7 linked regions of the Xenopus tropicalis genome follow. Each later gene encodes a partner of the first gene's protein in a complex. Links are inferred from orthologs where the notes say so. Each region holds a gene or a part of one and is shown in the gene's direction. Other genes may lie near its edges. The genes, in order: tmem67, tmem17, tmem216, tctn1, tmem237, cc2d2a and b9d2.

Region 1 (3,405 bases):
CCATATATACCAACATCAATACTAACTGTAGATATTAGTATCACAATAGCCTTGGATACTATGTTTGTTCAAGAACTCATCCAGGCCCCTGGAGTTGGTGGAACTTGGGCAGAGGAGCCACAGATGAATAAGGGGCATAAATGGATGGGGAAAAGAGCTGAAATGAGATAGAAAAAAAAAAAGGGTACAATAGTAGAAAAGGGGGGAAGGAGCTAGGGTGGATCGTAATGGGGAGACAAAAATCCCTAGACAAAAGCAACTGATTGGTATAGTTGCCTGTTACTAACCTTACTCAGGTACAACTCTGTATTTTTGTTCCACAGATGAGAATCATTCATTCACTGATGTTCTTTTTTATGGAAATGAATCTACTCTCCTCATATTTGATACCCTATTCTTCTGCGTTGTTGACGTTGCTTCACAAAACTTTGTTCTGGCTGCCATCCTCACATTCCTACAGCAAGAGGTACGTCGGTGTCACTGCAGCAGCTGCCGGGGAGATACACTGTTACCCATATTGTTCATAACTACCTGGTACACAGCAGCATAGAGTGCATTACAGGATTTTAGACAAATATCAAATCTGCGGCTATTGGTTCACTTGAACATTTCAGCCTATAATTAAGTTATGTAATAAAAGGTGCAAAGTTTGCTACTGTCTAATAATCCATAGCAACCAGACAGCAGGTTGCATTTACTGGTCAGCTGTTTGAAAACACATCTGATCTCACAGGCAAAGGGCCCTATCCAACAATGATCTTAGTACAGGTATGGGAATGCTTGGGACCTGGGGTTTTCTGCATAAGGGATATTTTTGTAATACCTTCAGTCTATTAATATCATTCAAACATTAAATAAACCCAACAGTATTGTTATGCCTCCAGTAAGGATTCATTATATCTTAATTAGGATCAAGTACCAATTGCAAATTGTCTCAAAAAAACAAAAAGCACAACTCCTTTAACACATATGTGCACCTTTCTTTTTACTGCAATGCTTGTAAAATGCTGCAATACAAAGATGTTTGCTTATTTATCATGTTGGAAACTTTGTGTTTTTTTAGGATCGGCATGTGTGTTAACTCGTTAAATATCCCTTTATCATAATCTTATTTGTTTTTCCCTTTGATTCAGTTATTCAGGCTGCTCTGTAATGCAGTGGGGAAGAAGAACTTGGCCTCTAAAACCCAGATTGATGAAAGGTTCCTGATATGAGAAAAAAATGTGTATCAGCAGCTGGACTGGGACATTCCAAAGACAGTATTTTTACATTATATGAATTTAAAGTATTTTTGTATCAATCTTTAACTCCAGCCACAGTACAAAGAGTGGGTATGCTGAGCCTTGTTTGCAAGGGGTCTGAACATGAGTTACACCTTTGGGCCTAATGGGTTATAATGGGACAGTAAAGAAGGTCTATTAAAGTGCTGCAGGTGTGAGACAGCATGTATAGTAAGCCAACATGGTGGCAAGGTCTACAGCTGTGGCACAGTAGGACTCACCAGTGGCAACCAGTCAGATATTTGCTGCATTTTATAAAACTTGTAGATTGATTAGAACATTGTTTCTGTTGATTACTGCACCGGGGCAAGTTAGAATCTGTGTTGGTAAATTAGCCCCAGTATGTGTAGTATTTTAAGATGTTCTTAAATGCTGCCTGGGTGTTTTAGAAGTTGTCGTTTCACCATAGCAGCTAGAGAGCTGCAGCCTAGTTTTATAATAATAATGGACACCACTTCAGATAACACTGTAGGGGGCAGGATATCCCTTACTGAGTAGAAAAATGACCTGTAAATATTTCTTGTTTTTACTTTGTATATTTCTGTACTTAAAACACAGACGGCATTGTCTCACAGACGTATTCATTTAAAGGAGTATTAACCGGAACTGAAACATAACGTATTCAGTCATAGTAGCAGTGTTACATGGGCTCAGTGCTGCACATCCCCTATGCAGGCTCCAATGCGGGACATTATGGCCTGCAGGCATTACACTTAGTGCTGTGATCCAATCAGAGATATTGCATTTTTCAACCTAAAGCTCAGTTTTCAGTTTGTGTTTGTCCCAATATCTGTTTTCCTTTCCTTCCACAGACATACCATAAAGTTCCATAATCTAAATGATCTCTGTCATTTACTGGCTCCGTGCCTGCAGCCTGCCATCCTTTATATTCCATTTGGGAATGACTAAAGAGAACAGAATGACAGCTGAAAGGATACTTTCTATAGGCAATAGAAGTACAGGTTCAGTTTACTTTGTTATACCACAGTGCCCCATACTAGTTTAAAATCCTAAAATTGCCTCCCTTTCCAGGATAATATGGGGTTAATCAGGCTGTGATCATCTGGTGGTTAATCTAGTGATCCTATATCCATAGGCATGGAGCATAGAGTCTTTGTAAGACCTGACATGGCTTGTCAGTATACTTGATTTTATAAACATATAAAAAGGCAAACTTTATTATTGTATATCTTGCTGTAATCAACTGTGGTGCATCACCACATACTTTTATGGGCCAACCAATTGATTACAGCGGCCACTTGCACAGATTCACAGAAAGGCAGAAAGATACAATTCATGTAGTTTAGTAACTTTAAACTAATAACTTTATTGTTCTGCTGCCTGGTGCCACCGCAGTTCCTTCAGTGCATTTACAAGATTATGTACATTGTCGGACATTGGCGTTCTGAGCTAGGATGACCAGGCCACTTGAAAATTCAAGAGCACTCTGGAAAATCCAGCTGGCAGGGTAGAACTAATTGCAGTTTAATTAAAATGCCCTGCAACATGTATTTATTAGATGTGTCCCTGAAGTTTAAACTGATCTGATAAAACCCTCTCCTGCCAAGATTATTTTGTATTTATGCATTTGTATTTTCAAGTGAATTAAATATTTTGTACAGATACCTGTTGTGTGGCTTCTTCTTCTACATGAAATGTGGAGAAAATGTGTTGGGAATGGAAGAAACCAGCACCAACTGTTTTTTTTTTTTATTATAAAAGCTCAGGGCAGTTGTCTTGTTGAAGGAAGAGCAAAGCAAAGAAATGATTTGCCAGTACAGGGCGGGGTTGTACACTATTGTACTGTATTTATATAGGGCCACGTGTGTATGCAGCACTTTACAAAGTATAAACACAGACAGGGCTATATATATATTTATATAGTGTTATATATATATATATATATATATATATATAGTTATTATAAATTAGTGAAAATAAATACTTAACTGCTAGGAGTTTTAGTTCACATTTGGAATACAATTCCCACCCTGAAGAGCTTACAATCTATTAGCTGCTATGGTATATACTGGATAAGCTTGTGAGACCAGTGCTTTGGTCAGGAGATACTTTCCCGATAATCACAACCAAGTCAGGAGGTGCCAGTCTATGATATATTTAAAGG
Region 2 (2,502 bases), on another chromosome or scaffold:
TTTACTACAGTTAGTATTTATTGTGCTAGTGGGGGCTGTTTGGGCCTCTGTGTACTTGAACTACTAGGGCCTATTTTGAAACCCAGTCCAGTGTAGTGCCACTCTCCCACTAAAATAGCACTGCCGACCACAGTCTTCTCTGCATTCAAAGGGGAAGCAATTAGCCACACGCAATAAATCTTCCACACTGCCCATACTATTGTGAAAGACCCCTATATTTTCCTACTGAATATTAACTCCTTAACTAATGGGTAGTACACCTTTGTTAAGCATGAGCAGAATAAATAGGCTATGTAATAAAAATACATTCAGCATATTGTCAGCACTGTATTTAGGTCCATTGCCACCCTACCTAGGCCCTAGACAATGACCTCCCCCCCAGCTGGCGGAAGTGACATCACGTGCACGGCTGAGCGTGACCTCACATCCATCCATCATCGACTTTCAACCCCTCATCACCCCCAGCTCCACCACCAGATTTACTAGGTTTGCTAGGTAATGTAAACATTTTTAGGTGATAGTTACTCACACATAACATAAGCCCTGTGATTCTGATTTATCCATGACAAGGCATTTAAAAGATCCTGTAGAACAGTGATTCCCAACCAGTGGCTCAGGAGCACCATGTTGCTCACCAATCCCTTGGATGTTGCTCCCAGTGGTCTCAAAGCAGGTAGTTATTTTTTAATTTCTGGCTTAGAGCCTCCTGAAGGCTGCCAGTCCAAATATGGGCTTCTAAATAACTAATCACAGTTTGGGGACCCTTGCTATAGAACACAGATACTAAATACAGTAGAAGAAACAAATTTCAATGTGAAAACCATGTCACAAACTAATCACAGTGCACTTTATGTCTTTTGACAGGTTCCAGAACTGGCTGGCTTTTTGATCCTGACCCTTTTAATACAGTTGCCTCTGCTCTTATTCCTTTTGACTGATAACAGAAATTTACTTTTGCCCTTGGATCTTGCAGTTCACATGATTTATCTGATGTTTATTAATGCAGAGATAGTAATTTCCTTCCTGGTTCTTAAAACCATGACAAGACAGTTTGCTCTTGAATATTACTTACAACAGTCTGAGATTCTGGTCAGCAAACATGTCCCAGTTAATAGAACTCTTCTAAGGTTCCAGAACACCACCACCAGCATAGCAGAACAATATGGGAGTGATGCATTAATGTACTAAGGTATAAGCAAATTCTGTTTCTGGTTTTCAAACCAGCAGGAATTAAGGCTGAATATCTGTATTTCCTAATTACAGAGTTCTTTGCACTTGAAAAGGCTAAACACAGAGGAGGGATTTGGTACACAGAAAAATATGGAGATATGAAGACAAAAATGACAAAAAAGAGAGGGAACCAGAAAAAGTGCAACAGATAAACAAAGAAAAGGAAGTGTAAGACAAAACATAACAGAGGGAGAGAATGGCTGAAATTAGAGATTTGTTGAGGGAGAGAGAGAAAAAAAACCTGATTAGCCACAAGTTCTGATTAGCCACAAGTTCTGATTAGCCACAAGCACACCACTTGGAGGGAACCCCAATCACTTAAGGCTAAGTTATGCAAGTAAACAAACCAAGGGTGGGACAGCTATTGCAGAAGGAGGTGAGGATACACTAGGGTTTAATAAGCACGAAAGAAAAAAAAACCATCAACCACAGGTTCAGTTTAGCCACAATACAGCATAGAAAGGCAAACCATATTCCTACAGCGAGGCAACAGTAATTTTGGCCTCTGGAGATAAAATATGCTTACAGGTTTTCCAAATGAAAAGCCAATACAATTGGCAATAAAGATAAAACAAGGTTTAACAAAAAAAACCCCACAAATTTATTTTCATATTAACACAAAAACTCTCTGTGACATGGTAATAAGGTCAAAATGATGGAATGAGAAGCCATATTTAGCTGCACAAGTATGCAGGCACATTTCTTTTATTTGAAAATGTCCTTCCACTTTTGGTGAGTACAATATTGTTGCAATAAAAAAAAAATATAATCATGTTTGCTTCTCCGGTGCATCACAAAATGGTATATTATCTAAAAGAAGGTCTTTCCTTGCTTGCAGCACTGAAATAAAAAGATAAAGATAGGTGAAGACACAGAGCATTATGCAACCATAGACAATTGAATACAATTCATCAGCCCTGAGCAACAAAACTGCCAGAACTAGCTATTGTCCCACTGTATATTCTGCCAAATACCTCCTCCCTCCTTGAGAAACCTTTAAACCTTTTACCTATATCTGCCTTAACAGTAAGGTTTATAAAGTTTGGATTTAATGGCCAGTTTTGCAGCCTTTTTTACACTGCCATATGTTTATTTGAATACACTGTAGTACATAATTTCATTTATATCTTTCAGCTTATTTGTGCCATATGAGACTGGCTTGTGCAGGTAGATGGTTATGTTTCTCATAGATATTCATGACATTTGTATAATTCAGTAAATATAATGTAGCTGGAAGTGCTTGTAGACCTTGTAACTTATATAAAAAGGCAA
Region 3 (3,972 bases), on another chromosome or scaffold:
CAAGAAGGAAACAGGGTGGGAAAAGGGTGGGGATCAGGGTGGGAAAAGGGTGGGGATCAGGGTGGGAAAAGGGTGGGGATCAGGGTGGAAAAAGGGTGGGATCAGGGTGGGATCAAGGTGGGGATCAAGGTGGGGATCAAGAAGGAAACAGGGTGGGAAAAGGGTGGGGATCAGGGTGGGAAAATGGTGGGATCAGGGTGGAAAAAGGGTGGGATCAGGGTGGGATCAAGGTGGGGATCAGGGTGGGAAAAGGGTGGGATCAGGGTGAGGATCAAGGTGGGGATCAAGAAGGAAACAGGGTGGGAAAAGGGTGGGGATCAGGGTGGGAAAATGGTGGGATCAGGGTGGGAAAAGGGTGGGGATCAGGGTGGGGATCAAGGTGGGGATCAAGAAGGAAACAGGGTGGGAAAAGGGTGGGGATCACGGTGGGGATCAGTGACCTGTAACTCCGCCCATGTGTTACTAAAAGTAAATATAAAGGGGAAGTTGACCCTTTATTGGGCTATGGGTTCTATAATGAAGTAACTGTGAGTAACATAATTAGGTGAGTAGCAGTGAGACGAGGAAACCGTGGGTGGGAACATCCGGCTCTTGAAGCGAGGGTCTCGCATCTCAGCCCCAATTAATAACGACTGCGCATCACTACTGAGAGACAGCAGCATCGGCCCCCAACTCTCCCACCCTCGCTCCTCTACTGCCCCCCGTGCAGTCATTAGTGCTCATACTGCCTCTTGTGTTTGGAATAACCTCTTCAGTGTTATAAAGGGTTGTCTCCATCTTGCCCTACTGTCTCCATCTTGCCCTACTGTCTCCATCTTGCCCTACTGTCTCCATCTTGCCCTACTGTCCCCATCTTGCCCTACTGTCTCCATCTTGCCCTACTGTCCCCATCTTGCCCTACTGTCCCCATCTTGCCCTACTGTCCCCATCTTGCCCTACTGTCTCCATCTTGCCCTACTGTCCCCATCTTGCCCTACTGTCCCCATCTTGCCCTACTGTCCCCATCTTGCCCTACTGTCTCCATCTTGCCCTACTGTCTCCCTGGGCAGAGGAGCTAGCAATCTAATTTGGCTGCAGGTACACTCTCCATTGAACAGTTCCCAGAAGCCCAGCCAGTCCCAGTTATTTAGTGGCCCTGAATGTTAGGGGGGAAGGCGCTAGGACCCCGCGGCGCACAGGCGGCTCAGGGGGTCACGTGTTGCGGAGGTTTCCAGGGAGTGACGTCACAGGCGTCCTTAGAGCAGCAAGATGGCGCCCAAAGGTAAGCGGGAGGCGAAGCAGCGGATGGAAGAGCGGCCCCCCTGCTCCCTGTAATGGCGCCTGTAAGCGTGGGGCTACTGTGTCCCCTATGCAAGAGGTGCAGCTGATCAGCGGGACTACAACTCCCAGCATCCCCTGCACCCGATGCCGCTACGCTGTCCCCTTACCTGCTGCATAGGGACCCGCACCGCTAGTGTGCAACTACAACTGGGGGGGGGGGGGGGGGGCTGTTAGACCACAATTCCCGGCATCCCCAGAGAAGCAGCGACTTCTCCCTGTTACCCACAATAGCGCACATTCCCCGGGCAGGTGGGTATATTATGGGCAGGTGGGTATATTATGGGCAGGTAAGTGGGTATATTATGGGCAGGTGGGTATATTATGGGCAGGTGGGTATATTACGGGCAGGCGGGTGGGTATATTACGGGCAGGTATGTGGGTATATTACGGGCAGGCGGGTGGGTATATTACGGGCAGGCGGGTGGGTATATTACGGGCAGGCGGGTGGGAATATTACGGGCAGGCGGGTGGGTATATTACGGGCAGGTATGTGGGTATATTACGGCAGGCGGGTGGGTATATTACGGGCAGGCGGGTGGGTATATTACGGGCAGGCGGGTTGGTATATTACGGGCAGGTATGTGGGTATATTACGGGCAGGCGGGTGGGTATATTACGGGCAGGCGGGTGGGTATATTACGGGCAGGTATGTGGGTATATTACGGGCAGGCAGGTGGGTATATTACGGGCAGGCGGGTGGGTATATTACGGGCAGGCGGGTGGGTATATTACGGGCAGGTATGTGGGTATATTACGGGCAGGCGGGTTGGGGTATATTACGGGCAGGCGGGTGGGTATATTACGGGCAGGCGGGTGGGTAATATTACGGGCAGGGGGTGGGAATATTACGGGCAGCGGTGGGTATATTACGGGCAGGCGGGTGGGTATATTGAGGGCAGGCGGGTGGGTATATTACGGGCAGGCGGGTGGGTATATTACGGGCAGGCGGGTGGGTATATTACGGGCAGGTATGTGGGTATATTATGGGCAGGCGGGTGGGTATATTACGGGCAGGCGGGTGGGAATATTACGGGCAGGCGGGTGGGTATATTATGGGCAGGCGGGTGGGTATATTACGGGCAGGCGGGTGGGAATATTACGGGCAGGCGGGTGGGTATATTATGGGCAGGCAGGTGGGTATATTACGGGCAGGTGGGTATATTACGGGCAGGCAGGTGGGTATATTACGGGCAGGCGGGTGGGAATATTACGGGCAGGCGGGTGGGTATATTACGGGCAGGCGGGTGGATATATTACGGGCAGGCGGGTGGGTATATTACGGGCAGGTATGTGGGTATATTATGGGCACCTACAGGGGGAGACCAAACATGGCTGCTCTGAGTGCTGGGAGGGGCCCCCGGCCCCCACTGGGTCTTCTGCTTGGTATCATGTGACTTGTGCTGCCCCCTAACTGTGCGTTTGCTTCCCAGGGAGAAGGCGCGGAGTTGTATCCTTGGCACTTACATAGGTGAGACGGTACCAAGTCACCTGTACAGGTATAGCCTGGCCCCGCCCACTGCTTCTTATATTCCTTTAACAATTCATGGGGGTACATTACCCCTTATAATACATGAGTGATACTCAGAGTTCCCTGTATAACTCAGCCTGCAGCCTTGTGCCTTTATATGGGGGGCACAGAACCCCTCAGTGACTGCTAATATCCTTATCATTTACAGTAGGGGGTACATTATCCCTTATAATACATGAGTGATACTCAGAGTTCCCTGTATAACTCAGCCTGCAGCCTTGTGCCTTTATATGGGGGGCACAGAACCCCTCAGTGACTGCTAATATCCTTATCATTTACAGTAGGGGGTACATTATCCCTTATAATACATGAGTGATACTCAGAGTTCCCTGTATAACTCAGCCTGCAGCCTTGTGCCTTTATATGGGCACAGAACCCCTCAGTGACTGCTAATATCCTTATCATTTACAGTAGGGGGTACATTATCCCTTATAATACATGAGTGATACTCAGAGTTCCCTGTATAACTCAGCCTGCAGCCTTGTGCCTTTATATGGGGGGCACAGAACCCCTCAGTGACTGCTAATATCCTTATCATTTACAGTAGGGGGTACATTATCCCTTATAATACATGAGTGATACTCAGAGTTCCCTGTATAACTCAGCCTGCAGCCTTGTGCCTTTATATGGGGGGCACAGAACCCCTCAGTGACTGCTAATATCCTTATCATTTACAGTAGGGGGTACATTATCCCTTATAATACATGAGTGATACTCAGAGTTCCCTGTATAACTCAGCCTGCAGCCTTGTGCCTTTATATGGGGGGCACAGAACCCCTCAGTGACTGCTAATATCCTTATCATTTACAGTAGGGGGTACAGTATCCCTATAATACATGAGTGATACTCAGAGTTCCCTGTATAACTCAGCCTGCAGCCTTGTGCCTTTATATGGGGGGCACAGAACCCCTCAGTGACTGCTAATATCCTTATCATTTACAGTAGGGGGTACAGTATCCCTTATAATACATGAGTGATACTCAGAGTTCCCTGTATAACTCAGCCTGCAGCCTTGTGCCTTTATATGGGGGGCACAGAACCCCTCAGTGACTGCTAATATCCTTATCATTTACAGTAGGGGGTACAGTATCCCTATAATACATGAGTGATACTCAGAGTGGGAT
Region 4 (4,034 bases), on another chromosome or scaffold:
TCCTGCACTTAGTAAATCCTGTATCCTTTTTTGTTATAGCTCTGCCTACATGTATGATGTTATTCTCCTTCATTATACAAGTTTATAACAGAATATGCAAAGCAGTCAGTTAAGCCAGTAGGGTGATAATAATGCACTCCGTTGCACTCACACACTCTTCCCTGCAGTCAGTTGTGCATTAATCTCCACTTGCAGCAAAATGTGTTCTTTGCACTTCTGTGTAATTGGCTCGGCACCACTTGGCCTTTCCTGTCTTCCTTTCTAAATAGAGCACTGCTGCAACTAATGACACGGGAACCCTGGTTTCAGGCTTCCCTTCATGCCCAGCCGCAATAAGCGCAGCACACTTGCACCTCCAGATTCGGTCACAGTGGTCACTTGAATGCGGCAGACACTGGAAATTATGCCAGCTGGACTTCAGCTCAACTGCAGCCAATTTGCAATAAAATGCACACACATTTGCATTAATTTTGCTGAATCTAATGCAATTGCGTAATCACAATAGTTTTCCAAAAAATCTCCTTCCATTATACTGAATTTAAATGTCCACAGGAGTTGTTTACTTTTAAGTTAACTTTTATTATGTAATAGAATGGCCAGTTCTAATCAGCTTTTCGTTTGGTCTTCATTTTTTTTATATTTTATAGTTTTTAATTATTTGCCTCTGTCTTATAACTTTTTCCAACTCGAATGGGGGTCACTGACCCCAGCAGCCAAAAGCCTATTGCTCACTTATCATGCTATTCAGGGGTCTCTCCTATTTATCCTGGGGTAATTTGGACCCTAGCAACCAGATGCAGAAATTCCAAACAGGATTGCTGCTGAACAAAGAGCTAAGTAATTGAAAAACAAAGACCAATAGCAATTTTTCTCCGAAAATCACTCTCTACACCATACTGAAAGTTATTTTATAGGTAACCAACCCATTCAAATGACATCTCTGTGCATCATTGCTCTAGTGGTACATGTATTCCGTGCTGGCAACAGCAACAGAGATATCGTTTCCCTCATTGGTAATATGAAGCATATCATACTATATATAGTAATATAATAACATGGGTGTCCAGCATGAACCCCAAAGAAAACCAGGCAACGCAAATCACTACACTGCGAGAAGGCAATTTCCCTTAAAACCTAAGTTGCGAATCTTTCCGCTCCCAGGGTCTGGTCCATATGATTAATAGACAATACGTCACTTCCTGGATCCCGCAAGTCGCTAGGGTTGTTTACAGCAACTGTAGGCAGGCTGCCGCTATGTAAGCCTTTATGTATCCGCCATGAATTCCCTATGGAGCTGCAGCTTTGCGCTCTTTTGTTGTTGCGTGGTTTTGGGGACTTGCAGCCTCGCTACCGAGAGCCCTAAGGAGACTGCCCGCACCGAACCAACTGAGACCCAGGCCTGGGACAGTACGGGGGGTCCTCTGCTTCCTGACCATGTGACAGACAACCAGACCTCTGAGGGCAAAGCGGAGTCTCACTATAATGATAGCGATACCTTACCTGTGGCTACAAATACACCTGAGCCTCTGAGCCCAACCAAGAGTAGGTAGCATGGGGGGTTGGCTGCCTAAGCCTGGTTAAAGGGAATCACAAACTCTTTACCACTTATTGTATTGTTTAAATGTCATTTTTGTTAATGGAAAAAGGCAGTAGTCTAGTAGGAATGTACTAAATCCATATCAAAACCTGAGCCAAATCAGAACTCTAATTTGTATGAATATACGTTCAACCCATTATTACATGTTGCAAGGTTGTTTTTTTTTGACAATGGAAAAATGAAAAAATGTTTTACTCATATCAAATAGCTATATGTATATAAGTTCAGCCCTGCTTAAATTTTTCCTCTAGTTGTCTGTTTCAAAGTTACTTCAAAATATTCTCCTAGCTGCTACTGTTGGTTCAGTAATATTCATCCAGCATTTGGGGTTACCAGGTTATAGTTCTACATATTTGTGTGAGTAGGGCTATCAGCCTAATGTGACTGCTATTTTTGTCTTGCTTTATTAAGTTAACAGGGTGGTTTGTGTTTGTGACCTGCTGGTTGCCCACTGTGATGACAACTGTTGCTGCGATCCTGACTGCAATGCTGCAGATATTCGTGGATGCCTGGCCAATGAAATGCCTGCAGAGACAGCCTATACAGAACCACCTGAAATCCAGGTGTTGGAGGGTGCAGAGGAAGACGTCCCACCTGAAAACAACACAGACCATAGAGGAGTTGAGGATTCAGAAGTCATTGATATTGGAGTCATAGCTTCTCCAGGGGATGAGTTAACAAGAAGCTTTGGTTCTGCTGACCAACCTGGTGCTCGAGTTCTTCCCTCTCCAGTCACCAACAGTAAGTATAAATGAAAATCTTCATAGAAGTAAGTAACATGATGCACTACTGCGTCTGGCAATGCCCATTTAATTGATCCATTTCTCTAGTGATGGGAGCATTAAAACTACTTTCTATCATTACTGTAAATAATTGAAAATGTTAAAGCTTTTAAAGAGAACTAAACCCTACCCTATTCTCAGCCCCCTCCACCCCCTCCATTGCCCCCCTTCAAGCTACCTCCCCACAAGAGTTATTCTGTTAAGTTTTTCAGTGATTTCTTATTGCTAGGGTATTATTTACTCTAATAACCAGTCAGTGGTTTGACTAGGAGACTGGAAGATGAATAGGATAGGACCCGTTATCCAAAAAGCACCAAATTATGGGAAGGCTACCTCCCATAGACTCTATTTTAATCAAAAAAATTCAAATTTTTAAAAATAATTTCCTTTTCTCTGTAATAATCAAACAGTACCTTGTACTTGATCCCAACTAAGATATTAAAAGGGGTGTTTGCCTATGATATAGAGAGTAATATTCTGAGACAATTTGCAATTCATTTTTTATTATTTGTAGTTTTTTAGTTATTTCACTTTTTGTTCAGCAGCTCTACAGTTTGGAGTTTCAGCAGCTATCTGGTTGCTAGGGTCCAAATTACCTTTAACATACAAAACGTTTACTAAATAGTCAACCAACCCTTTACTAATCCTTACTGGAGTCAAAACAATTTTATTGGGTTTATGTAATGTTTAAATGATTTTTAGTAGACTTAAGGTATGGAGATCCAAATTATGGAAACACCCCTTATCCAGAAAAGCCCAGGTTCCGAGCATTCTGGTTGACAGGCCCATTCCTTTGTAAAGAACATTAATAAAAAGTAATAATAACAATAAAATAGTAAATTTGCAGAGCAATCATTTTAGGCTGCTGGGTTCAGTGACCCCCATTTGAAAGACTGCACGTATTTGCATGCAGATATTTGTATAGACTATCCACTTCAGCGTGAGTATAACTAAGATTAATCTTCTTTCTGAGTTAGAGTAAAGTAATTTTCCACAGAGGGATTTCAGGTGCCACCAGCCAATAAGTAGTCAGGAGGGACTGCACACACACGCAGTTCAGCATAAATCATTATAATGCTCAATCACCGTCTATACTCGAGTATAAGCCAATCCGAATATAAGCCGAGGTACCTAATTTTACCTAAGAAAACTGGAAAAACGTATTGACTCGAGTATAAGCCTAGGGAATGCAGCAGCTACTGTTAAGTTTTATCAAAATAAATACCAATAAAATTACATTAAATGAGGCATCAGTGGGGTATATGTTTTTAAATATTTATTTCAAATAAAAACTGTAAATTAGCTCTGTAAGTGGAGGGTCAACAAAAACAATTGTTTTATCAACAATGATACCTTAAGAGTACTCAGCAACCAAGCTAAAACACAAAGAGTTAAAATCCTTCAAAACTATATATAGTTTATATAGAATATAAAGTGAAATGTCTAGTGCAGAATGGGACAGGTAAGGATGGTAGATGAAGATAAATTTGGGAGCGGGCCACAAAGGACAGAGGGTGCTAGTTTGGAGGGACCCATGGCACCCGACTCGAGTATAAGCCGAGGGTGACTTTTTGAGCACATTTTTGGTGCTGAAAAACTAGGCTTCCAGTGTTTCCTCTCAGATTTTTTGAAAGGGCCATTGGTGTGGTGTCATT
Region 5 (4,234 bases), on another chromosome or scaffold:
ACAACCTCGCTTCCCTTACTGTGAAGAACCATTTGTGCTACTGTAGGTGAATTTCAGTTTCTCAAGTCTAAAAGGAGGCCTTTGGTTGTTTCCAATTATTCAATTGTTCCATTGCTTTTACCAATTTAGTTGCACCTCTCTGTATTATTTCCAGCTCATTAGTTCTTCTAACTGGTGCCAAAAAAAGCACTGCAGTCTTAAGCTAAGGCCTTACCAGCCATTAAGTATCATTATTAACTAGTGTTTATAAAACGTTAGTATATTCAGTTGTGCTGTACAAAAAAAAAAAAACTGCCAAGACTGGTCCATTATTTTAAATGTACCTGTAATTCCAGTAAATGTGTAATATGCTGGTGATATAAGGAATAATGTACCTCCCCCCTTGTTGTAAAATATGAGAATATTAGATTCACACTGGCAACCTGTAGATTCTGAAAATGCCAGAGGGGCTGCTATAAGCAGAGCTGTCAACTTTTGACGGGTGCAGTCCGTGGGGGGCTGCAATTTTTTGTTCCCAAAACGTGGAAATAACGTCACATGTGCGACAGACTTCTGGAAGTGACATCACACACATGCACAAAATCCCCGGCGAAGCCAAAAAATTCTACCTGCACACATGCATCAAATGATGTCACCAAACAATTACTGTACATGCACGCCCAGTATTCGCCACCGGACTTCGGTATATTTGGGCAGAATCAGGAGAATATTGGGGGATGGCTGGGGGGACAAGGCGAATAGGAGACCAGGAGAGAGCCACCACAATCTGGTTACTCCAGAACAAATGGGAGGATTGATAGCTTTGTGTAAGATGGTCACTATTTTTGTGGGCTGGTGGGGGTTGTTTGGGCCTCTGTGTATTGGAAATTCCCAGGCCAGAGTTCCATGACCCATATAAAAGCATAAGGCCAGCCTGTGCTACTGTACATGACAAATCTCCCCAAAATGACTTGCCTTAACATATTACTTGCAGCCATTAAGTTTATGCAAATAGAGGCAATTTCCCCTCTCTTTGGGCGGTCCATCAGTCCGATCCCGATACTATGGCAAGCCAATTCTGGGAGATTTGTCGCCCGTGGTTGTGCAGATTGAACCATTGGAGACAAATATCAACTTGCACCATTACCCCAACCCTAGCTGCTAAGGAAAGAACTGTGATAGCAATTACGCAAACATACAGCTTTACAGAAACAAATATTTAATAATAAGGCTGCCGCACGCCCTCACTTCCTCACCCCAAGCCACTCGGCCCCTCCCTTAGTGCTACAAACGCATGCGCACTTCAAAGCTAGAGCTCAGTGAAAGGCAGTGAATCAGAGCTACTTGGCTTTTTAAACGCGCCCCTTCCAGTCTGGCAGCCAATAAAGAGATAGCATTCTGTGTTTCCATGGAAACTCTTCGGTAGCCTTCCCTGCTCCAGAAACATTCTTTTGCCCGACCTCAGGGAGCATGGAGCTTATCCATTAAGCACATATATGTCCTAAAATGGACAGCGTAAAAGTAAGTTCTGCCTGTGTAACACTACATTCTTGTTTGCATAAACTTTTCAGGGAATGAGGGACTCTGCACATGTAAGCATCACTGATGATGAGGTTGGTGAAAATGGCCGCCAGCTGAAAGCTGCTCTTTGTTTTAAATATGAAAATATGTTTGCTTTGGCAAAGGTGGGGGGGATATATATGCAGTTAAAATGGTATGGTTCGGTAGGGAAATGTGCCTACATGTAGGAAAATAAAGGGTTTAGGGATTAATTCACGTGGGCGTATAAAAGCACTGACCTGTAGCTGAAGGGCAGAAGGTTCTAACCTTTGTAATCCCAGAGTTTATCTACAGATTATTTTTGTGTAAGGAATAAGAGGATCTATGTGTTGTGTAAAGGAACTGCCTAGTATCTGCCTGTATGTGCACTGACTTTTGATGATGGGGAAGAAGCAAGTGGTAAGTACCTTAATGCTTTAGGAAAGGAATGTTATTTGGCAGATGAGAACCTTATAGAACATTCTTACTATCTGATGGATGCAAGCCTTCATAATTTCATGTGAATTTGATATTAAGTTAGTGATTTTTATGTGATTGTACCAGTTCATTGTTACCATCTAATTTATAAATAGAAATGTACTATAAAGTTCAATATAAGAATACTGATTTTTATTAAAGCAGTAAAGTTCATATTCAGTTATTTATTGATGTTATTTAACTTTAACTCTCTGTTTAATGTAGACATTGATATTGTAAGATTGGTAATTGTGGCAGTTGGTTTTCATTTTTATTTGTACAGCAGCTCTCCATCTTGGAATTTCAGCAGCTATGTGGTTGCTAGGGTTTTATTTACCTTAGCAACCAGACAGGGGTTTGAATGAGAGCCTTGAATATGAATCAGTGGCATAACTACACTGCACTGGGCCACCCTGTAAAAAAAAGAAACTTCAAAGGGCCCAGCGCAGAGTAGCAAACGCACCAGGCCCCCTGCCCTGGTGCGTCCCCCCCACCCCCTTGAATATAAGTTAGGGATGCGCCGAACCCACTTTTTTGGGTTCCCCCAAACCCACCCTGACGGATTCTGCCGAATCCTAATTAGCATATACTAATTAGAAGGGGGGCCTGAACAGAAAGATATGGAATAAAAAGTAACCACAATAAAAAAGATGTAAGAGATGTAAAGGCCAATTTATTTTTGGCTGCAGGGATCAGTGACCCCTATTTGACAGCTGGAAAGATGTAAAAGAGGAAGGCAAATAAGTAAAATAATAATAATAATGAAGACCAAATGCAAAGTTGCCAAGAATAGTATGTTCTGTAAAATACTAAGGGGCACATTTACTAACCCACGAACGGGTCGAAATGAGTCCGATTGCGTTTTTTTCGTAAAGATCGGTATTTTGCGATTTTTTCGTATTTTTTGCGATTTTTTCGGCGTCTTTACGAATTTTTCGTTACCAATACGATTTTTGCGTAAAAACGCGAGTTTTTCGTAGCCTTTACGAAAGTTGCGTAAAATCTTGCGCTTTTTCCGTAGCGTTAAAACTTACGCGAAAAGTTGCGCCTTTTTCGTAGCGGTAAAACTTAAAAGGTGCGAAGTTTCGCGTAAGTTTTAACGCTACAAAAAAAGCGCAACTTTTTGCACAAGTTTTAACGCTACGGAAAAATCGCAAGATTTTACGCAACTTTCGTAAAGGCTACGAAAAACTCGCGTTTTTACGCAAAAATCGTATTGGTAACGAAAAATTCGTAAAGACGCCGAAAAAATCGCAAAACATACGAAAAAGTCGCAAAATGTTCGTTTTCAAGTCGGAACTTTTCCAATTCGGGTCGGATTCGTGGGTTAGTAAATCAGCCCCTAAAAGTTAACTTAAAGGTGAACTACCACTTAGGGTCACACAGGCCTTTTTTACCCAGAGGGAATTTTTCATCTCTTTCAGTTTGGCCCCATCTAAAAATTCACTCTAACAAATCTTATTGGCCAAATATATAATAAAAGGGACAAAGTTTGCCAGGATGACCTGTAAATGCTGATTGGTTGATTAAACTAGTAGCAAACTTTGAGTGTTTTATTACATTTCCCATTGTTTTTCACAAAGTACATCAAAGAATTACTTTTTCCAAAATATTTCTGGTTTTATTTTTTAACGTTTTTAGTGTTTTCTGAAAATTGCATTTCTTGCATGACTTCCCTGCCATAACATCTAACATCTGCTAACAATTTAAATATTAAATAAACCCAATAGAATTGTTCTGGCACCAATGTGGATTCATGCAACTCGGTTATGATCAAGTACAAGGTACTGTTATATTATTAAAGAGAAAAAGAAATTCATTTTTAAAAAAATTAATTATTTGATTATAATGGACTCTTTGGGAGATGACCTTCCTGCTATTTGGAGCTTTTTGGATAACTGATTTCTGGATAACGTGTCCTATACCTGTATTTGCTCATTGAACTCACTGAGAGAGTGACAGATTTTAAAAAAAAACTTCTAGGAGGGTGGTCAGTAGGGCTGCTTCCTTGGCTTTGCAGAGTTTAAGGCTGATGGCACATGGGACATTTGGTTATCCACGTGGTGACAACATGTCTGAAAAAATCTTGGATAATTAGTTGGAAGAAACCAACCAACTAATTAGGCGATCCTAAAAATTCCCTGGTGTTTTCATAGCAGCTAGATTTTTATCACATATGTTAAACTTCTCCTGAAATTCTGGAAAATTCTGTTAGCTTTTTGCAGAATTGTTGAAATGA
Region 6 (3,500 bases), on another chromosome or scaffold:
TTCGTGTGTTGCATCAGGTCTTGGGCCGAGGTGACCAGTTTGGGCCCGGGTGATCAGTAAATGCTAGCTGCTGATTTTTTGCTATAGGTGATTAGACCTAGAACAAGCTTTGAACCTTTTGTAACATAACCCCATTAGGGTTGGATCTGTTTTTACCAGATCTGTTCAGTCTCGTTCCAATTTGCTGTTTAATCCAGTAAGGCACAGGTTGTACATCATTAGCGTTTATAGAAACCGTTTGTCCCGTGCACAGATTTTATTAAACTCATTTCAGTTTTCTGTTTTCTCCCCTCAGGAATTGGTGGCGCACTATGTTTCTCTTATCCCATTCCTGCCAGACAATGTATCGTTTGCTGGAATCTGCAACCTATGGAGTACAGCAGATGTAAGTAACGACCTGCCCCGCCCTGTTATGGCTGTCCCCTACCTGTGTGTGTGATGAACTGAGATGGCTGCCTGTTCACCAAGATACTTCAAGGTCAAAGTCATGATAGTATGCCTTTAAGAAACTCAGATAGCAATGAAAATGAGAATGCTGAGGACACTGGTGGGACACAGGTTCCACCTGCTGGTTAGTTACAGACATTACAGATAAAAATATCAGGTTTCTGTATTTATTTATGTATGTATGTATGTATGTATGTATAACTTTATTTATAAAGCGCCACAAGGGTACGCAGCACTGTACAATCTTACAATATACACAATTACACAAAGGGAGGCCAAGTGTTATAATAAATAAATACAATAAATATATATATATATATATATATATAAGTGCCATGTGGTATGAGAAACAGTAGGAAGGAGGTCCCTACCCCATGGAGCTTACAATCTAAGTGTATATCTTTATTTATAAAGCGCTACTTATGTACGCAGAGCTGTACAGTAGAATACATTTATACAAACGGGGTTATTAAGATAATAATAGATAAATACAAAGTATAACAATAAATAAAGATAAATACAATATATAATTAATAGTCAAAGACACAAAAAGATGGAGGTCCCTGCCCCGTAGAGCTTACAATCTATATGGAAATATTACCTTTTTGTTAATGGCTTTAAGAGATCAGGCTTAAAGGGGAACTCTGGATTCCCAACCAAAGAGCCCCACACAACACAGAAACCCCTAATATAACTATCACTGTAATCTGTTCTGCCAAAGATTATGATTAAATATAATTTTTATATGCTGAAATCCAGCTGCAGTTTTCTCTTTCTGCATCATTTTAAATCCTGGCAGGGGAGAAGGGACTAAAACATTGATGTTACAAATTGTAACAACTTCTCTGCAGCTTAGAGACAGCATGCCGGAACTACATAACCCACAATGCATTGCACTGGGATGTTCCTTCTTTTACTGACATCACATTTGTAGGGAATTGTGGGATTGGGAGGATGCAGGCTGAAGGCAGGCTGAGGGGAGGCGACTACTGTTACATTTTATTTGAGTCTCAAAATAGTCAGCCAGATCAGCAGGGGAACAGGGGGTGGGGCTTAGGGAACTGTTCCAAAGCATATCATTATATTAAAAGTCATGAAAAGACTGCATAGTTTTTAATTGATGTATATTGTGAAGTTAGTTTAAATTATCTTTACTTTTCCAAAAACTCAAGCTGTGTTTAGTAACCTAGGCAGGGATTTAGCAGATTGGGCGTGCATGGTTAGTTTTGTAGCATAGCCTTAAACCATTTTTCAATGGTGAATGTTGGATGATATGCTAGTATAACGATAGTAGCCAGTCACATTTATGGAAAGAGAGGAATCTTATTGGGTGCTTTTAGACATTTGGGGCATAATACCTGGCCACTAACTGACTTGTATTCCCATGATAATGTAATGGTGTGTAGCCGCTGTATCCAGGCTAGCCTTGCACAGAATGTGCTGCTCATATCTCTTACTGTGTCCCTTTCTTTTATTCAGCAATTCCTTGATCTCCTGGCTGGGGACGAAGAGGAACACGCTGTCCTGTTGTGCAATTACTTTCTGGCCATGGGGAAGAAGGCATGGCTCCTGATCGGAAACGCAGTCCCTGAGGTGAGAGCCAGTCCTTCCGCCATGCAATTGGTTTCACTCTGTGCTGTATGGGTTGGGCCCTCCTCTGGCGCAGAAACAGCAGTGTTATGTTCTGTAACAAGGAGACAATTAGGTGTTTGTGCCTGTTTAGCACTCTAACCGGAGCCTAGCAATTGATTTCTGGCTTTATCTGCTTCCTTAGATGGGCACGGTTCTGCTGGCATCTAATTGTGCTCAGATAGGTGATCACTGGCCTCCTATGGAACCAGGCCCAAGGGTTCAGCTTCCAAAGGGACATACCACTGAGAAACTTGGGCAGCTGTGTTTGAGCAATTAGCCCTATAATCACTTAAGGAGCCAATCACTTTTGAACTATGGGAATGTAAGTTGCGATATTCCTAGGGGGCTCCTCTGCCGAGAATTTTGGGAAATATGAATAAGTGATAACGTAAAGCCCAGATTAACAGAACCATTATGCCCCATAGTATATCTCATGGGGGCATTGCCACTTAGTGACCTGGGTATATGCTGGATAGTGATTGTGAAATCCTCCATTTCTTTGTTCTTCCCAGTTTATATAGCTATGCTGCCAGCTCCCTGAATGTCCTAAGAGATGATTCTATTCATTTATTTTAGGGACCAACTACATATGTGCTGACATTGGAACAGAACCAGTACATCATATGGAACCCGAGCACTGGAAGGTTTTATGGCCAGTATGACACATTTTGCCCACTACAAAGTGTTGGGTGTCTGATTAATGCTGATAATGTAAGTACCTAGATCCTTGGGCTTGTGTTTTCTATTGCCTGCCATAGTCTGTCAGCTGCCATTTTGGAATGCCTGATGGGTGTGACACCCTGATTGGTAACATTTATAGAATGCCCTATTCTTAGAATCTTTTTAATTGGTCTTCATTTTTCTTCATTTTTCATCTGTCAGGTAGGGAGGTCACAGACCCCGGCAGCTTAAAAGCTGTTGCTCTGTAAGGCTACATAGTTTCTCCCTGTATTCTTGTTATTACTTTCTATTCCTTTCTATTCAGGCCCCATCCTATTCATATTTCTGAGACTCGTTTAAACCACTGCCTGGTTGCCAGGGTCCACTAGACCTAGCAACAAGGTAGCTGCTAAATTCCAAACTAGAGAGCTGCTGAACAAAATGCTAAATAATTAAAAATGCACAACAGGGATAACATAAAAACCAGCTGCAGATTGTCTTGAATATAAATGCCTACACCATACAGATAAAGAAAGTGAACATCCTGTTAGGGCTCTGGCACACGGGGAGATTAGTCGCCCGGGACAAATCTCCCTGTTCGCGGGTGACTAATCTCCCCGAAATGCCATCCCACCGTCGAAAATGTAAATCACCTGCGGGATGGCATACGCAAGGTGTACTGCCTCTCAAGGCAACCACCGCGTATGCTATCCAACCGGCGATTTACATTTTCGCCGGTGGGATAGCATTTCGGGGAGATT
Region 7 (3,974 bases), on another chromosome or scaffold:
TGAGAAAGGGGTAAAATGGGGCAAACAGTTATCTTGTGAAGCAACAGACAGGATCTTTTAAAGACACTAAAATAACAGCATATGTTCCGCAAAAATTGGCTCATTACCAGCTTGTCTTGCAGTAAAGCAGCTTTAGCAATCTTTTATAACAAAAATACTAATGTATTTCTTGCATGAATTGGATCAACGACACCTTTTCAGATAGGGATATCCTAAATAAATTCTTCTGCGTTCATGTATCCAAGTATCTCCCTACTTCTTTTAAAATGTAATTAAATATTTTGGCCACTATGTCTGTCATAAAAGTGAATGCGTTTCGTCTGACGCTGCCATTCAAAGTTTCCAGCATTTTAAAAGCTGGGTTCTTTTTGGTTTAAAGGCTTTACATTTGGGGGTGTGACTACAAAGTGGGAGCAGACAAACGCATTTTCAGCATGGCCATGCTAATTCTCATTACACCCCCCTCAGCCACTAACTTGCTGAACTTTAAATGGACGCTAATATGTCTCTTGTATACGTAATGCCTCAGAACCCGACACGACACGACGCCCTATATCTGTTTAAGCAACGTTCCATTACACTATGTTGTATTATAAATCACAGATTGCAGTATTAATAGCTATCGTTTAATCCCAATACTTCGTCTCCCACAGACTATCAGTCTCGATCAGTTTACACATTTCGCCTACAACAGACGTCACTTCCGCCGGTGAACCAATCAGATCTGCTGTATGCAACGGTTGCACAGCAACAGGCGGAGTCTACCAAAGTGAGAATTAGAAGGGGCAAAAAGCTAAGACAAGGAGCCGGTTTTCAGAGGGGGTCCGGTGAGATTTATGTTGCAGTTGTGCGGTTAGGGGAAGCATTTATAGCGGGATGTAAAAGAGGGCGAAAAATATTTAGAGCTAATAAACTGGTAAAGCGCTTACATCTTACCCTACTGCGGTGTTATATACGCAAAGGTAGATATGATTCGCAGGTTGTCGGTATGGAGTCCTGATGATTTTGCACCATCATCCAAATATGTATCGTCAGTAATTTATATGCTCATAGCACACACAATGGCGCCAGTGTAGGGAGTGTAATGGGGGTATTACGTTTTCCAGCAGCTGATAGTTGACAAACAGAGGCTCTTGGCTGATTCTGTAAGTGTAAGCTGTAGGGCCCTCAGTTTAGGGATTCTATTTGTTGATTCTATAGTGCCTTCACTGTCAGTGTTCTATGTAGTTATGAAATTCACTGTACATGAATAGCCACACTCATGAATTACATTACAGCCCAACTTGTGCAGGTATAAGTAGGTTTTTTTTGCTTGATGTTGGTCATTGACCTGGTTAGTTACATATGTAATACACTATGCGGTAATGACAAATAAAATTATGCTTTCAAATTGGTTTTATTGGATGTGTAATGAACAGTTTGGTTATGACATGCCACGTCTTACAGGGCTTATTGCTGGGGGTTAGCTACATATACTAATAATATACGTAGTAATAACACTGCGCTAAAAGTAGGTAATAAATAAAATGTATATGTAATACTAATGTTCCTTCTAAGCTATGCATTTGTGGATATTTAAATTACGATGTCAGGGCACATGCATTAGAACCGCCCTTTTACATTATTGAGGCCACTAGAAAATAATGGGGGATGTCATATCCTTGAAATGTATTAATCATTATATTTTGGAGGGACCACAAAATAAAAAAACCTAAGTAAGGGATGAAAAATAAAGTTTTACTGTAATAAATTGTGGTGCGCAAAAAGAATTTTGTATGTAAAGGCATAATTTAGAATTTTTTTAGACTTGCGCATAGTTTTTATAAAAGTGCTCAAATAGGTTTAGGAAGTAGGCACAAAAGAAAGTTTTTGCACACACAGCCAAGAAAAAAAGGAAAACTTGGTCACTGAGGCTTGTATATTTATATTGGCGTCAGATGGTATAAGAAGTGTAATTTCTAGCTGTTATTGTTTGTTGGACCTACTTCTAATAAAAATTATAATTTAGTTTCTTCACAATAATGATGTAACTGAAATATATTTTACCTTTCCTCCTACAGTAATGGCAGAGGTTCACATCATAGGGCAAATTATTGGGGCTAGTGGCTTCCCCCAACACAGCCTGTTTTGCAAATGGGGAGTACACACAGGTAAGAGTCATCATTTTGCATTTTAAATGGATCTATATATCAATTGTACATAAAAAAAACACAGTTTTGTTTTTTTGTGGAGCTGTACGCTGTTGAAAATGTGGTATATGCATTCAGTTGGCCCCACTTTTATTCTAGTACAGGTATGGGATTCCTTATACGGAAACCCGTTATCCAGAAAGTTCTGAATTATGGAATGCCCGTCTCCCATAGACTCCATTTTAATCAAATAATTCAGAATTTTAAAACAGATTTCCTTTTTCGCTGTAGTAATAAAACAATACCTTGTAATTGATCCCAACTAAGATATAAATAATCCTTATTGGATGCAAAACAATCCCATAGGGTTTAATTAATGTTTTATTGATTCTTTAGTAGATTTAAGCTATGGAGATCCAAATTACCCTTGGTCCCGAGCATTCTGAATAATGGGTCCTATACCTGTAATATATTTTTAAGTTTGTGATGTGAAGAAGAAATATATGCGTCAGGTGACCCCTGTATTTATTCTAGTAATGTGAAGTGAAGGAGAAGGCTGTGTTTGTATAACTTAAAGCCCATTTTTGGCTTTACTTTACATAAACAATATAAAAGAGTCTTAAAGGAAATGTTAATGTTTTGAGAAAATCTTGATATATAAGATACTGGTGTGGCTCTATCTATTATTAACCATATGATATTTCTATTTGTAATAACATCGTTCCCTACCATAACATTTAGGTGGAGCCTGGAAGCTACTTTCTGGGGTTGTGGAAGGCCAGACACAAGTAGATCATCCACAAAATGATGACATGGCATTCTGGTCTCACCCTATTGACATGCACTTTGCTACTAAAGGATTACAAGGTAAAGTATGATAGAATAAAGAATAAAATAAAGAATCTGTTAAAATTATTGTAATCACATTGGAGCCCCTGCACAGGCTCCCAACCCTAACCCTACCCATTCAAATGAACACACTTTACCTACCAAAGGTGCAAAGTACATTATGTACTTTAAATGCTTGTATTTCCCCCACTTAGGTTGGCCAAAACTTCACCTTCAAGTCTGGCATCAGGACACATTTGGTCGTAATGAACTTTATGGTTACAGCTTCCTCCACATCCCTTCCACCCCTGGTACTCACTCATTGCTTAGCCCAACCTGGCGACCCCTGGGAACATGGCAGGAGCAAATATGTCAGATGTTTGTTGGCGGCGGCCCACAACTTAAGTCATCCAGCCTGATTTATGGAGGGTCTGATCGCTACCGTCTGCAAACAGTGGCCATGGGGCAAGTACATCTCCAATTAACGGTCATACTCAGGAACTTTGAACGATACGGGGTGGAGTGTTCTTGATTTTGCAGAGTGCTAAGAACTTGTTCCTGGTTTTCCAAATGATTATTTTTGGTGCCAAGGACATATGCACTGAAATAATCAGCAAGACATTTTATGGAATTACTTGTGAACACCTCAAACAGAATCCTGCTCAGTATTTAATGAGCCCCTTTTCTCAACCCTTCTTAATAAACCTGATACTTCATATCTCTTCTGTACCATAATCTGGTAACATTTATCCTCCTCCCCTTCTACTAACATCTCTTACACTTTCCCAAATTGTCTGTTACTTCTGATATTAGCCATTTTCCTCATTGTATCACTTTTTTACTATCCTTGCTTTGTTTTCAGCCCTGTTATAAAGCACACTCCCTTTCTCTCCTTTCATTTTCATAATACCTCATTCACATCAATCACTTACCAGAATACATTTATATATAAAGTAAATTGAATGTTTTTGTTTTTAAATACTTTTCAGGCTCTTTTGACGATTATCTTAAATCAGT

What was found.
Region 2: tmem67 (region 1) and tmem17 share a complex: the UniProt entries of both Homo sapiens proteins name them as parts of the tectonic-like complex. The link is inferred for Xenopus tropicalis from reciprocal best matches to the Homo sapiens genes TMEM67 and TMEM17.
Region 3: tmem67 (region 1) and tmem216 share a complex: the UniProt entries of both Homo sapiens proteins name them as parts of the tectonic-like complex. The link is inferred for Xenopus tropicalis from reciprocal best matches to the Homo sapiens genes TMEM67 and TMEM216.
Region 4: tmem67 (region 1) and tctn1 share a complex: the UniProt entries of both Homo sapiens proteins name them as parts of the tectonic-like complex. The link is inferred for Xenopus tropicalis from reciprocal best matches to the Homo sapiens genes TMEM67 and TCTN1.
Region 5: tmem67 (region 1) and tmem237 share a complex: the UniProt entries of both Homo sapiens proteins name them as parts of the tectonic-like complex. The link is inferred for Xenopus tropicalis from reciprocal best matches to the Homo sapiens genes TMEM67 and TMEM237.
Region 6: tmem67 (region 1) and cc2d2a share a complex: the UniProt entries of both Homo sapiens proteins name them as parts of the tectonic-like complex. The link is inferred for Xenopus tropicalis from reciprocal best matches to the Homo sapiens genes TMEM67 and CC2D2A.
Region 7: tmem67 (region 1) and b9d2 share a complex: the UniProt entries of both Homo sapiens proteins name them as parts of the tectonic-like complex. The link is inferred for Xenopus tropicalis from reciprocal best matches to the Homo sapiens genes TMEM67 and B9D2.

What each region holds. Positions count from the first base shown.
Region 1 is NC_030682.2:127,764,419-127,767,823, forward strand, and holds the end of tmem67 (meckelin), read left to right. Parts: intron 1-323; coding exon 324-466; intron 467-1,133; coding exon 1,134-1,214; 3' UTR 1,215-2,905; downstream 2,906-3,405. UniProt on the Homo sapiens protein: Required for ciliary structure and function. Part of the tectonic-like complex which is required for tissue-specific ciliogenesis and may regulate ciliary membrane composition.
Region 2 is NC_030677.2:166,777,927-166,780,428, forward strand, and holds the end of tmem17 (transmembrane protein 17B), read left to right. Parts: intron 1-864; coding exon 865-1,188; 3' UTR 1,189-1,999; downstream 2,000-2,502. Other genes in the region: complex III assembly factor LYRM7, read right to left, coding at 2,000-2,070. UniProt on the Homo sapiens protein: Transmembrane component of the tectonic-like complex, a complex localized at the transition zone of primary cilia and acting as a barrier that prevents diffusion of transmembrane proteins between the cilia and plasma membranes.
Region 3 is NC_030678.2:178,906,042-178,910,013, forward strand, and holds the start of tmem216 (transmembrane protein 216), read left to right. Parts: upstream 1-1,172; 5' UTR 1,173-1,248; coding exon 1,249-1,261; intron 1,262-2,750; coding exon 2,751-2,767; intron 2,768-3,972. UniProt on the Homo sapiens protein: Part of the tectonic-like complex which is required for tissue-specific ciliogenesis and may regulate ciliary membrane composition.
Region 4 is NC_030677.2:162,883,889-162,887,922, forward strand, and holds the start of tctn1 (tectonic-1 precursor), read left to right. Parts: upstream 1-1,234; 5' UTR 1,235-1,277; coding exon 1,278-1,542; intron 1,543-2,008; coding exon 2,009-2,338; intron 2,339-4,034. UniProt on the Homo sapiens protein: Component of the tectonic-like complex, a complex localized at the transition zone of primary cilia and acting as a barrier that prevents diffusion of transmembrane proteins between the cilia and plasma membranes.
Region 5 is NC_030685.2:53,781,285-53,785,518, forward strand, and holds the start of tmem237 (transmembrane protein 237), read left to right. Parts: upstream 1-1,434; 5' UTR 1,435-1,485; coding exon 1,486-1,500; intron 1,501-1,510; exon of another isoform or gene 1,511-1,553; coding exon of another isoform or gene 1,554-1,592; intron 1,593-1,627; exon of another isoform or gene 1,628-1,917; coding exon of another isoform or gene 1,918-1,938; intron 1,939-4,234. UniProt on the Homo sapiens protein: Component of the transition zone in primary cilia. Required for ciliogenesis.
Region 6 is NC_030677.2:27,906,383-27,909,882, forward strand, and holds part of cc2d2a (coiled-coil and C2 domain-containing protein 2A), read left to right. Parts: intron 1-295; coding exon 296-385; intron 386-1,926; coding exon 1,927-2,040; intron 2,041-2,655; coding exon 2,656-2,790; intron 2,791-3,500. UniProt on the Homo sapiens protein: Component of the tectonic-like complex, a complex localized at the transition zone of primary cilia and acting as a barrier that prevents diffusion of transmembrane proteins between the cilia and plasma membranes.
Region 7 is NC_030684.2:79,325,656-79,329,629, reverse strand, and holds the start of b9d2 (B9 domain-containing protein 2), read left to right. Parts: upstream 1-1,174; 5' UTR 1,175-1,245; coding exon 1,246-1,291; intron 1,292-2,060; coding exon 2,061-2,150; intron 2,151-2,870; coding exon 2,871-2,996; intron 2,997-3,172; coding exon 3,173-3,489; 3' UTR 3,490-3,974. UniProt on the Homo sapiens protein: Component of the tectonic-like complex, a complex localized at the transition zone of primary cilia and acting as a barrier that prevents diffusion of transmembrane proteins between the cilia and plasma membranes.